Linked DNA regions of Caenorhabditis elegans. The protein of the gene in region 1 purifies or fractionates together with the protein of each later gene. This does not show direct contact. Each region holds a gene or a part of one and is shown in the gene's direction. Other genes may lie near its edges.

Region 1 (3,995 bases):
CCTATTTTTCAACATTTTTCAAAAAGTTGAATCTCTCGGACTCTATTCAGCTGTACGGTATGTTTTAAGAATCTCAAAATGCAAATTTACAGAAATTGTTGCGAGACCCATGTAGAAAAACTAAAGTGTGTGTGTGCCTTTAAAGTTGGAATATCTCCAGTTGACTAATGATACCATATGAGTGTGCCAAAATGACCAATGTTTTTATTTCGATTCAAATACATTTTCGCCACTTATATGAGTTTTTAGGTTCTAATTTTTTTAATTTTTCAAATCTTTGTATTTAACCATAATAGGGCTTCAATGATGCAACAATGATTTCAATTTCTTTTCAAAAAATTAAAGGCTTCCACTTACAATTCTGAAAGTATTCATTTTCAGATGCCTGGAGATTCGCGAAATACCTAGCAGACGACATTGAACGTGAACTGGAAATTCCTGGTGTGAAAGTCTACGTGTACAGTACCTTCTTCCCTTATTACGAACAATATCTGACTCTGAGCACAACTGTATATACTCTTGTAGTTCTGGTTCTTTTTGTTGCTTTCGTCACGATTTCCCTATTTTTACGCGTTAATTTGGCTGGAAGTTTAGTCACTGGTGAGTTTTACAGTTACTTTGATATAATTTCAAATGTCTAGATACGTGAAATAGATTATTAATAAAGGAAGAAGGGATATGTAGGGCACATGACGTTGTGTAAGATAGTTGATTTAGACATTTTCAGTATTTGTACTCCTCTCATCATATCTTCACTTGATGGAATGGATGTATCTACTCGGAATCACAGTGAATGTAGTATCAGTTATCAATATGGCAATGGTAAATTCATATTTTGGTAGACACCTATAGGTAATTTAAGATTTTCAGTCTCTTGGAATCGCTGTTGAGTTTTTTGGGCAAATGCTACATGGATTCTATAACTCAAAAAAACCGAAAAGGGAAGAAAGAGCATTCGCTGCACTTGTCAGTAATGGATCTACGGTAACTTTACCAATTGTCTTCATATTCTAGATTCAAATACATTTAGACATTGTCCGGAATCTTCCCTGCTATCATGATCACCGCTGGATGTCTTTCATTTGCTGATTCTCGTGTGCTCATCACATACTTCTGCAATCAACTTGTTGGAATTGGTCTTGTTTGTGCAGTTCATGGAGTTGTTTACATGCCAACACTTTTGGCAATTTTCGGATCGGATTTCTATCAGAATGTGAGCAGTGAAGAAGAATCAACCGATGAAGCAGAACTGCAGGATACTCCTCCATCGACCACATCAAGTACTTCCAGCACTTCTGAAACATCTGTCTGATTCCTTTCATTCTCTTTTGTACATTTTCTAATCATTCCCGTATAGAATGATCTCTATGTTCGTTTACAATGTGTATGAATCCCTCTGAATCATATTTATAATAAAATGTGTTCTATGTGTGCTTTTTATTATAAGATCATTTTTTTAAGGAATTCCTCAATACGAAATAATATGTTTAACACGAATGTAATGTGGCCACTAAAAATTGCAAGAAAAACTGAGTGATGCATTCGCGCTCCATTGACAAACAATTTCTCTTTCACTAAAAATTTTCAAGATGCGAGCTCAATTTTGCATAAATTACTTTATAAATACTAAATTCCGTTATTTTCAAACGTATTTTAATTTATTAATTTATTTATTCCGATTTCAGATGCTCAGAATAGTCTTAGCCCGCTCAAGTAGAGCAATGAGCTCTGCTTCGCCAGCGTCTGCGTAAGTATCATTCGTTTCTCTTATTTCTTTCAATAAATAATCGTGTTTCAGGTCAGATAGCGACACTTCAGTTCGAAAAATTGGTAAAGCACTGGAAACTTATTTGAAACACAGTCAACAACATGTGGCGATGATGGAGAAACACAGGTTTATCGATTTTTGAAGTGAAAATCGTTAATAAAGCATTTTAAGAGCAGAGTTCGAGACAGGACGTCGACATCTTGCCAAAATGATGAGTCTTGACATTCATGAACTCGATCAAGAGGCAATTGACAGGTTTTGTAACAGTGTTTTGTCATATTTATCATAATTGGCATTTTCAGAGCAATCCTATATTTATTTCCTTCTGGATTAACCGACCCAAATGCTCGTCCAGTTATGAGACCACCAGATGAAATTCTTCCAAAATTCCAAAGATTCACATTTGACGAAGAAGGAAAACCAGAAGGATCCCGATTTTTCACATTAAGTCCAAAAATTTACGGGCTTTTGTCGGATATTGGAGTCAAAACGCATTCTGTTATGAAGTTTTATGATGAACATGTTGGAAGTCGATCGGTAAATCGAAGTGATTTGGAACCAGCGTAATTAGTAACCATTTTTTCTACTGAAACATTTATTAATTTTCAGAAATCTGAGCGGTTCTCAATGGGTTACAGCTGACAAATTGAAGAAAAAGCTCTCGGAAAAATTTTCAAAAGAATTGTACGGACAAGTCATCATTGCATTTGAGCATCTTGCTTCATTACCAGGATCAGCTATTGAACAAAAGTTTTTGATGGAATTCAGAGAGCCAATGACCGCTTCAACTGGATCCAAATTGTTCGGTCCTGCGATTCCTGAAGTGCATGTTTGTGCAGTGACCAACAGAAGATATGCAGAAGTGACGTGAGTTGTCCTTCTTTTAAAAGACAGCAGAGAATTTTTGCCAAAAATCTAATGATTTGATAACCTTAAAATTAGTTTTGCCATTAAAAATACTTGTAATTTTTAATTAAACAAATTTTCTCTAATTGTAAACTGAATAATTGAACAGTTTTTTTTTCAGAACACGATGTAAAGATACTCGTGCTACAGTTAAGGTCACAGACGCAGGAAAAGGAAAATTCGATATTGATGGTCTCCAATTGCACGATTTCAGGCATCTTCAAGCCAGGTATATTTTGCGAACATCGAATTTTTCTGATAACATAATTTCAGAGAGATTCTTCTTGCACCAATGATTGTCAGTCAGTCTCTCGGTCGATTTGATGTAACAGCGACAACTTCATGTATTTCTAATACTCTTCCAGAAGCACCAAACAAGGCGCCATTGTGAGACTATTAAAATTTGTTACTCTGCAACAGTATAATCACTTTCTGCAGAATGCGAAGTGGAGGAATGAGTGCTCTACCGCGTGCTGTTCGCCATGGAACTGCACTTTGTGTTGCCGCTTTGCAACCAGAAGCTATCGAACCACTAAGATTATGTAAGGACATTTATTTTGTAAAAAACTTATAAATTCCTAAATTACAGCTGGACTTCTAACACTGGACCCACGGAAAAACGAAAGAAGCAAGGTGAATCAACCGGGTGCTCGTGCTAAATGGATCTGGAAACGTCGTTAATTTATGAATACCCACTTTAATTTTGTTTTTGTTAATTGGTAGGAAGTTTTCAACTAGAATTCTTGTTTTTATTGTTTTTTTAGACTTTTGAAAAATGAAATTTATAAAATAGAAAAGCATACATAACGAGACATCAATTCAAAAATGGGTTTGGTTACTTTTCAGGGAAGGAATGCACTGGGGGGGGGGGGGGGGGAGGTAAAGTGAGTAAGTTTTTAATCAGTATCTACACGTTTCTTGAGGATGCAAAAGTGTCCGCCGATTTGGAACATTTCAATTTGGAAGTCGTCGTATTGAACTTGGATCGTGTGCACTTTTAGATCACGGAGTTCAGTTCCTTGAGTTCGAGTTGCCATTCGCATTGCATTGTAGGCAATTTGACGAGGGTTCTCCGCTTCGAGGAAAGTGCTGTGGGCCTGGAAAATTTTTTAATTAAAATTTCTTACCAAAAAAATGTGTAAATTTATATTTAGAATTGAGCAACAAGTATTTTTTCTAGAAATTATTTTATAAAATCTTACAATTGTATTTCCTTTGCAAATCATGAAAGCGAGGACTCCGGGAATCTGCTGAAGGTTTTCCAATGTGTACTTTGGCTTGGACTTTTTGTTTGATTTGCTCATTCTGGAAAAAAACGTCA
Region 2 (4,173 bases), on another chromosome or scaffold:
GTTTCTGTTATATCAGAAGGAACAGGTTTTAATTAGGTGTAACCTAGAGGAAAATTTTTGAGTTTCAAGTAAGATTATGCCTATTTTTCTTCCATACTTGTTTCAATTCTCGTTTTCAAAAAATCAACAAAAAAAATTCCTGGAAAATTAAATATTTCTCTTTTTTTTTCTTTTTCAATTTTTCTTGGAAGTCAGAACTTTTGGAATTTGGAGAGCGGCAAGCAAAGTGAAAACAATCAAATTTCTGATCAAAAACTATAGCAAAACTATCTAGTTGAGCATGAGAATTGATTATTTTCTGCAATGCGGGTGCTTGAATTTGAAAGATTGAATTGTTTTCTATACAAATTTCAGACTATTTTTGTTCATGAAATCTGCAGTTTTAATATTTCCGATTTTTACAAATTAACTGGAAATTTCTGAAAATATTCATGCTTCAATTTTTAGATATTTTCAGATATTCTGGGTGTCAAAATGGACATAGTATTCGTGTATAACATGTTCTCAGCTTTTAAAAAATATAAATTTCAACCCAAAAATCGCAATTTCATTTTTTCTCCATTTTTTTGGAGGCAAACGTCCACTTTGGTTTTTGAGAGCGGAGAACGATTTTGGAGATTAACCAACATTTCTGATAAATTCTTTAAAAATTCAATTGTGGACTTAAAATACCGTGGTTTAACAAAATTTGAAGTGAAAATGTTTAAAAAAATTAAATGGGCAAAAATCAAAAATTTGAGAAAATAACCAGAAACTAGGAAGCCGGTAGACCATGAATTGCTACTGCCGTTTATAAATCTGCCCCACCAGCAAACTATGTTCCAAAATAACTTGAATTCAAACTCCACAAATTTTGTCCCGTTCCAGAAATCTTTGATCCACTGAACTTTTACGTGCACCTGTTACACTTTTCCCGCCGGATCTTGAGTTCAAGCTTCTAACAAGTAATAAAACAGCCTACGTATAAATACATTTATAACATTAACATTCGAAAAACCAATAGTTCACCTACTTCCTTCTCTTCCCTTATTATTTCTTGTCAGAACTCTCTACTATAATTTCGCAGTTTTTTGTCACTTTGTTTATCCCACTTCTTCGTATTTTTCCCTCTTCTGCCTTCTTCTCACTTTTTTAAAGCAATCATTTGGTTATATTCATACTTTCTATAAGTTTTTGGGAAGAAGAACACTGATTTTTGATATGCGTCTTTTCTTTCGGAAAAGATCCCCGAGAAAACTCAAGTCTAGTCTCAGATTTTGACAAATTTAAGTGTTAAGCTGACAAGGAAAAGTTTCGATTTTTTTAAATGTTTCATCGAAAATTAGGATTTTCAAAAAAGCTCATTTTAATAGGTCCCCACAAAAATTATACTGCTTGGAAGCATTTTAAACAAGGCAAATTAGATTTAAAAGATTTCTCAAAATCTACAGTTTTTTATTATGCTTTGGGTCATAGGAAAAGTTTGAGATCTTTTCAAAACAAAATTATTAACCCTAAAAAATCTAATTTTTTCCACAATGAATATGGCTAAATTTTCAGTTAGGATTTATTTGATTTCCAAGATCTAACTGGCCATTTCCACAATTTAAGCCAAAATTCAAATTAGTTTTCAGCCTTGTGAACGCGAATTTATGTTGCTCTGTTCCCCGTCATCCCATAAAAAATCAGCCGTCTTCCGTTTTATGACTACTTCAACACACAAAAAATCCAATCATCATTCCATTGCCACGTCATAATTGAGGCTTATTCAATTTGTCTTCTTCATGTTTACTCACTCCTTCTCCTTTTTCAGAGTCTTTCAATTTCAAATTTTCAGAACATTTCCTGATTGAGGTGATGAGAAGTTGTGCTTAAGATTTTTAATAAAACAAGTATCGTTATAAATCTATATATTTTCAATGGGTGCCACATTATGTGCACCGAAAAAGAAAAAAACCGTGAGTTTTGAGCTTGATTCGGAAGATGAACATTTCTCAAAAATTTTTGGATTTTTTACATTCTTTTCAAAAAAACAGTACATAAGAATAGAGAACTACAGTACTCTTTAAAGACGCACAGAACATTTTAAAAAATTATTTTCCAGCAAGTCGGAGCATCTTGGGTCGGAAACGAATCTGAAAATCCATTTGACTTAGCCCTCAATAAAAAAGACCGTACTCTGTTACGTGAAACTTGGCAAAGGCTAGATGATCCGAAGGATATTGTTGGTCTTATATTCTTAGATATTGTCAATGATATTGAACCGGACCTCAAGAAAGTGTTTGGCGTGGATCGGGCTCCGCGAGCCGCGATGCTGAAAATGCCGAAATTCGGAGGGCATATTCTAAGATTCTATGAGTTCATGGAGCAGGTTAGCTGTCTAAACTACATTTTTAAGAGTATTTTTTGAACTCAAATTTATTATTCCAGCTCACGTCAATGCTTGGCACGTCTGAAAATCTGACGGGTGCATGGCAATTGGTACGAAAAACGGGAAGAAGTCATGTCAGACAAGGGTAAGTGCGCAGGTGCAAATGCCGTCACTTTGTATGATTATATAGTCCAATGCCATTTGATGATTTTTCAGTTTCTTGGAACAAAATCAGAACCAGATGGAGAAGAACTATTTCGAAATTGTTATAAATGTATTTATCGAGCGATTAATTCCATTTCTGACGGGTGAACAGGTGAGATTGTGGGATCAGTTAGGTCAAGCTAGTTTGAAAGTTCAACTAATTGATTTGTTGGAAGGTTTATTTGGAGTACAACTCAATCAAATTATTTTCTAATAAAGGAATTAATTGAGCTTGATTTCTGAAAAAATCTATATAATTCGAAAAAGAAATTTTGCGGTCGAGAAGCATTTTGAAAATTTTCCCGAACGTAGATTAGGATGTTTGTGAGCGAGGAAATTACTTGAGCTGTTTTCAAAAAAATGTTTGTTTTTCTTTTTAAAAAAGGTGCAATTTTTGATCCAGTTGGGCAAAATAGTTGCGGGTTTTTTCAAAAAATTAGAATAATATTTTCAAATAAGTATTTTTAAATGTTACTTCAGATCGGATTTTTTAGTTCTTTGTGATCCTCTTCCTATAAATTCTTGTAGATACCTATTCGAAATAAGATTGTTTAAATTAAATTGGTTTTTTTTTCTAAAAAAGTTCATAATCTCCCCTCGTAAAACAAAAAACCTTTTCACCCAACAAATATGATTTTAGGAGCTTCCATCATCAGAAGGAAAAGAGAACAAAAAAGTGCGATTTGCTCAAAACTACACCACATCTCAAATCACAGACGTCTGGAAGAAGTTCTTAAACACAGTAATTAGTCAAATGACTGACTCATTTGAATTGGAAAGAGCAAAACAGAAGAGTGCACAAACAACAAAAGCCTTGGCTCCACATCAACATATCGAGATTTCGGAAAGGAAGAAGAAGAGGGTGGCGGTATGTTATTAGTTGATATCATACATTTGTTAATTTGATATTGGCATTTTCAGGAAAAACAAAGCGAGATTGAAAATACGGCAGTTTCAAATGAACCAAAAGCTCAAGAGCAAATGTTCGAAGATCCATTCTGAAAGTATATTTTTATAGTGATATACCATATAAAACATATTGACACTGAAAAAACACTGATAAATAAAACTGATTAAATTTATTGAATAAATGATTTTTTTTTGATTTTGTAGCACATTTAATGCACAAAAATGAGCTAAGCTTTTTTTGCTATTGCGTCACACAAAGACATGCAATTTTGGAGACAAAATAGCATTGCTGAATTAGGTTTAGATACATTTTTATGTGAATTGAAAGTCAGAGCCAATTACGTTATAGGCCGATTATTTTTCGAGTTTATGTATATGAGGTTTTATCCTCTTGAGGATCTATTCCATTTCGGTAAGAGGATTCAAAAAAAGTCAACTAACAAATCACTAAAAATTCAAAATACATTTTTCCGTCGGCAACATTTTAAAATCGTAATTATTTTGCCAAGATATGATAGTTACCTAAGCGTTTTTTGTGCTGTAAGTAGGACGTCAAGTTTGAAAATGCAAATTTCATTTTTCACCAATTTTTCAAACGATGTTAAAAAAGAGTATAGAATATTGCTTAGTTTGCTCTCCAGCAACCACAATTCACGATACTGAACAAGTTTTTTTTTAACCAAAATATTTATTAATTTGTTGAAAATATA

Evidence for each region.
Region 2: the proteins of mrps-9 (region 1) and glb-12 fractionate together in Caenorhabditis elegans (co-fractionation; one large-scale study listed by BioGRID). This does not show direct contact.

What each region holds. Positions count from the first base shown.
Region 1 is NC_003281.10:8,264,377-8,268,371, forward strand, and holds mrps-9 (Small ribosomal subunit protein uS9m), read left to right. Parts: upstream 1-1,685; coding exon 1,686-1,747; intron 1,748-1,798; coding exon 1,799-1,894; intron 1,895-1,939; coding exon 1,940-2,023; intron 2,024-2,070; coding exon 2,071-2,331; intron 2,332-2,377; coding exon 2,378-2,635; intron 2,636-2,795; coding exon 2,796-2,903; intron 2,904-2,947; coding exon 2,948-3,061; intron 3,062-3,112; coding exon 3,113-3,216; intron 3,217-3,263; coding exon 3,264-3,355; 3' UTR 3,356-3,465; downstream 3,466-3,995. Other genes in the region: ncr-2 (NPC intracellular cholesterol transporter 1 homolog 2), read left to right, coding at 1-57, 382-600, 728-822, 871-984, 1,031-1,312; F09G8.7 (uncharacterized protein), read right to left, coding at 3,571-3,771, 3,877-3,978.
Region 2 is NC_003280.10:10,729,288-10,733,460, reverse strand, and holds glb-12 (GLOBIN domain-containing protein), read left to right. Parts: upstream 1-1,808; 5' UTR 1,809-1,898; coding exon 1,899-1,937; intron 1,938-2,083; coding exon 2,084-2,350; intron 2,351-2,409; coding exon 2,410-2,495; intron 2,496-2,566; coding exon 2,567-2,666; intron 2,667-3,194; coding exon 3,195-3,422; intron 3,423-3,475; coding exon 3,476-3,556; 3' UTR 3,557-3,657; downstream 3,658-4,173.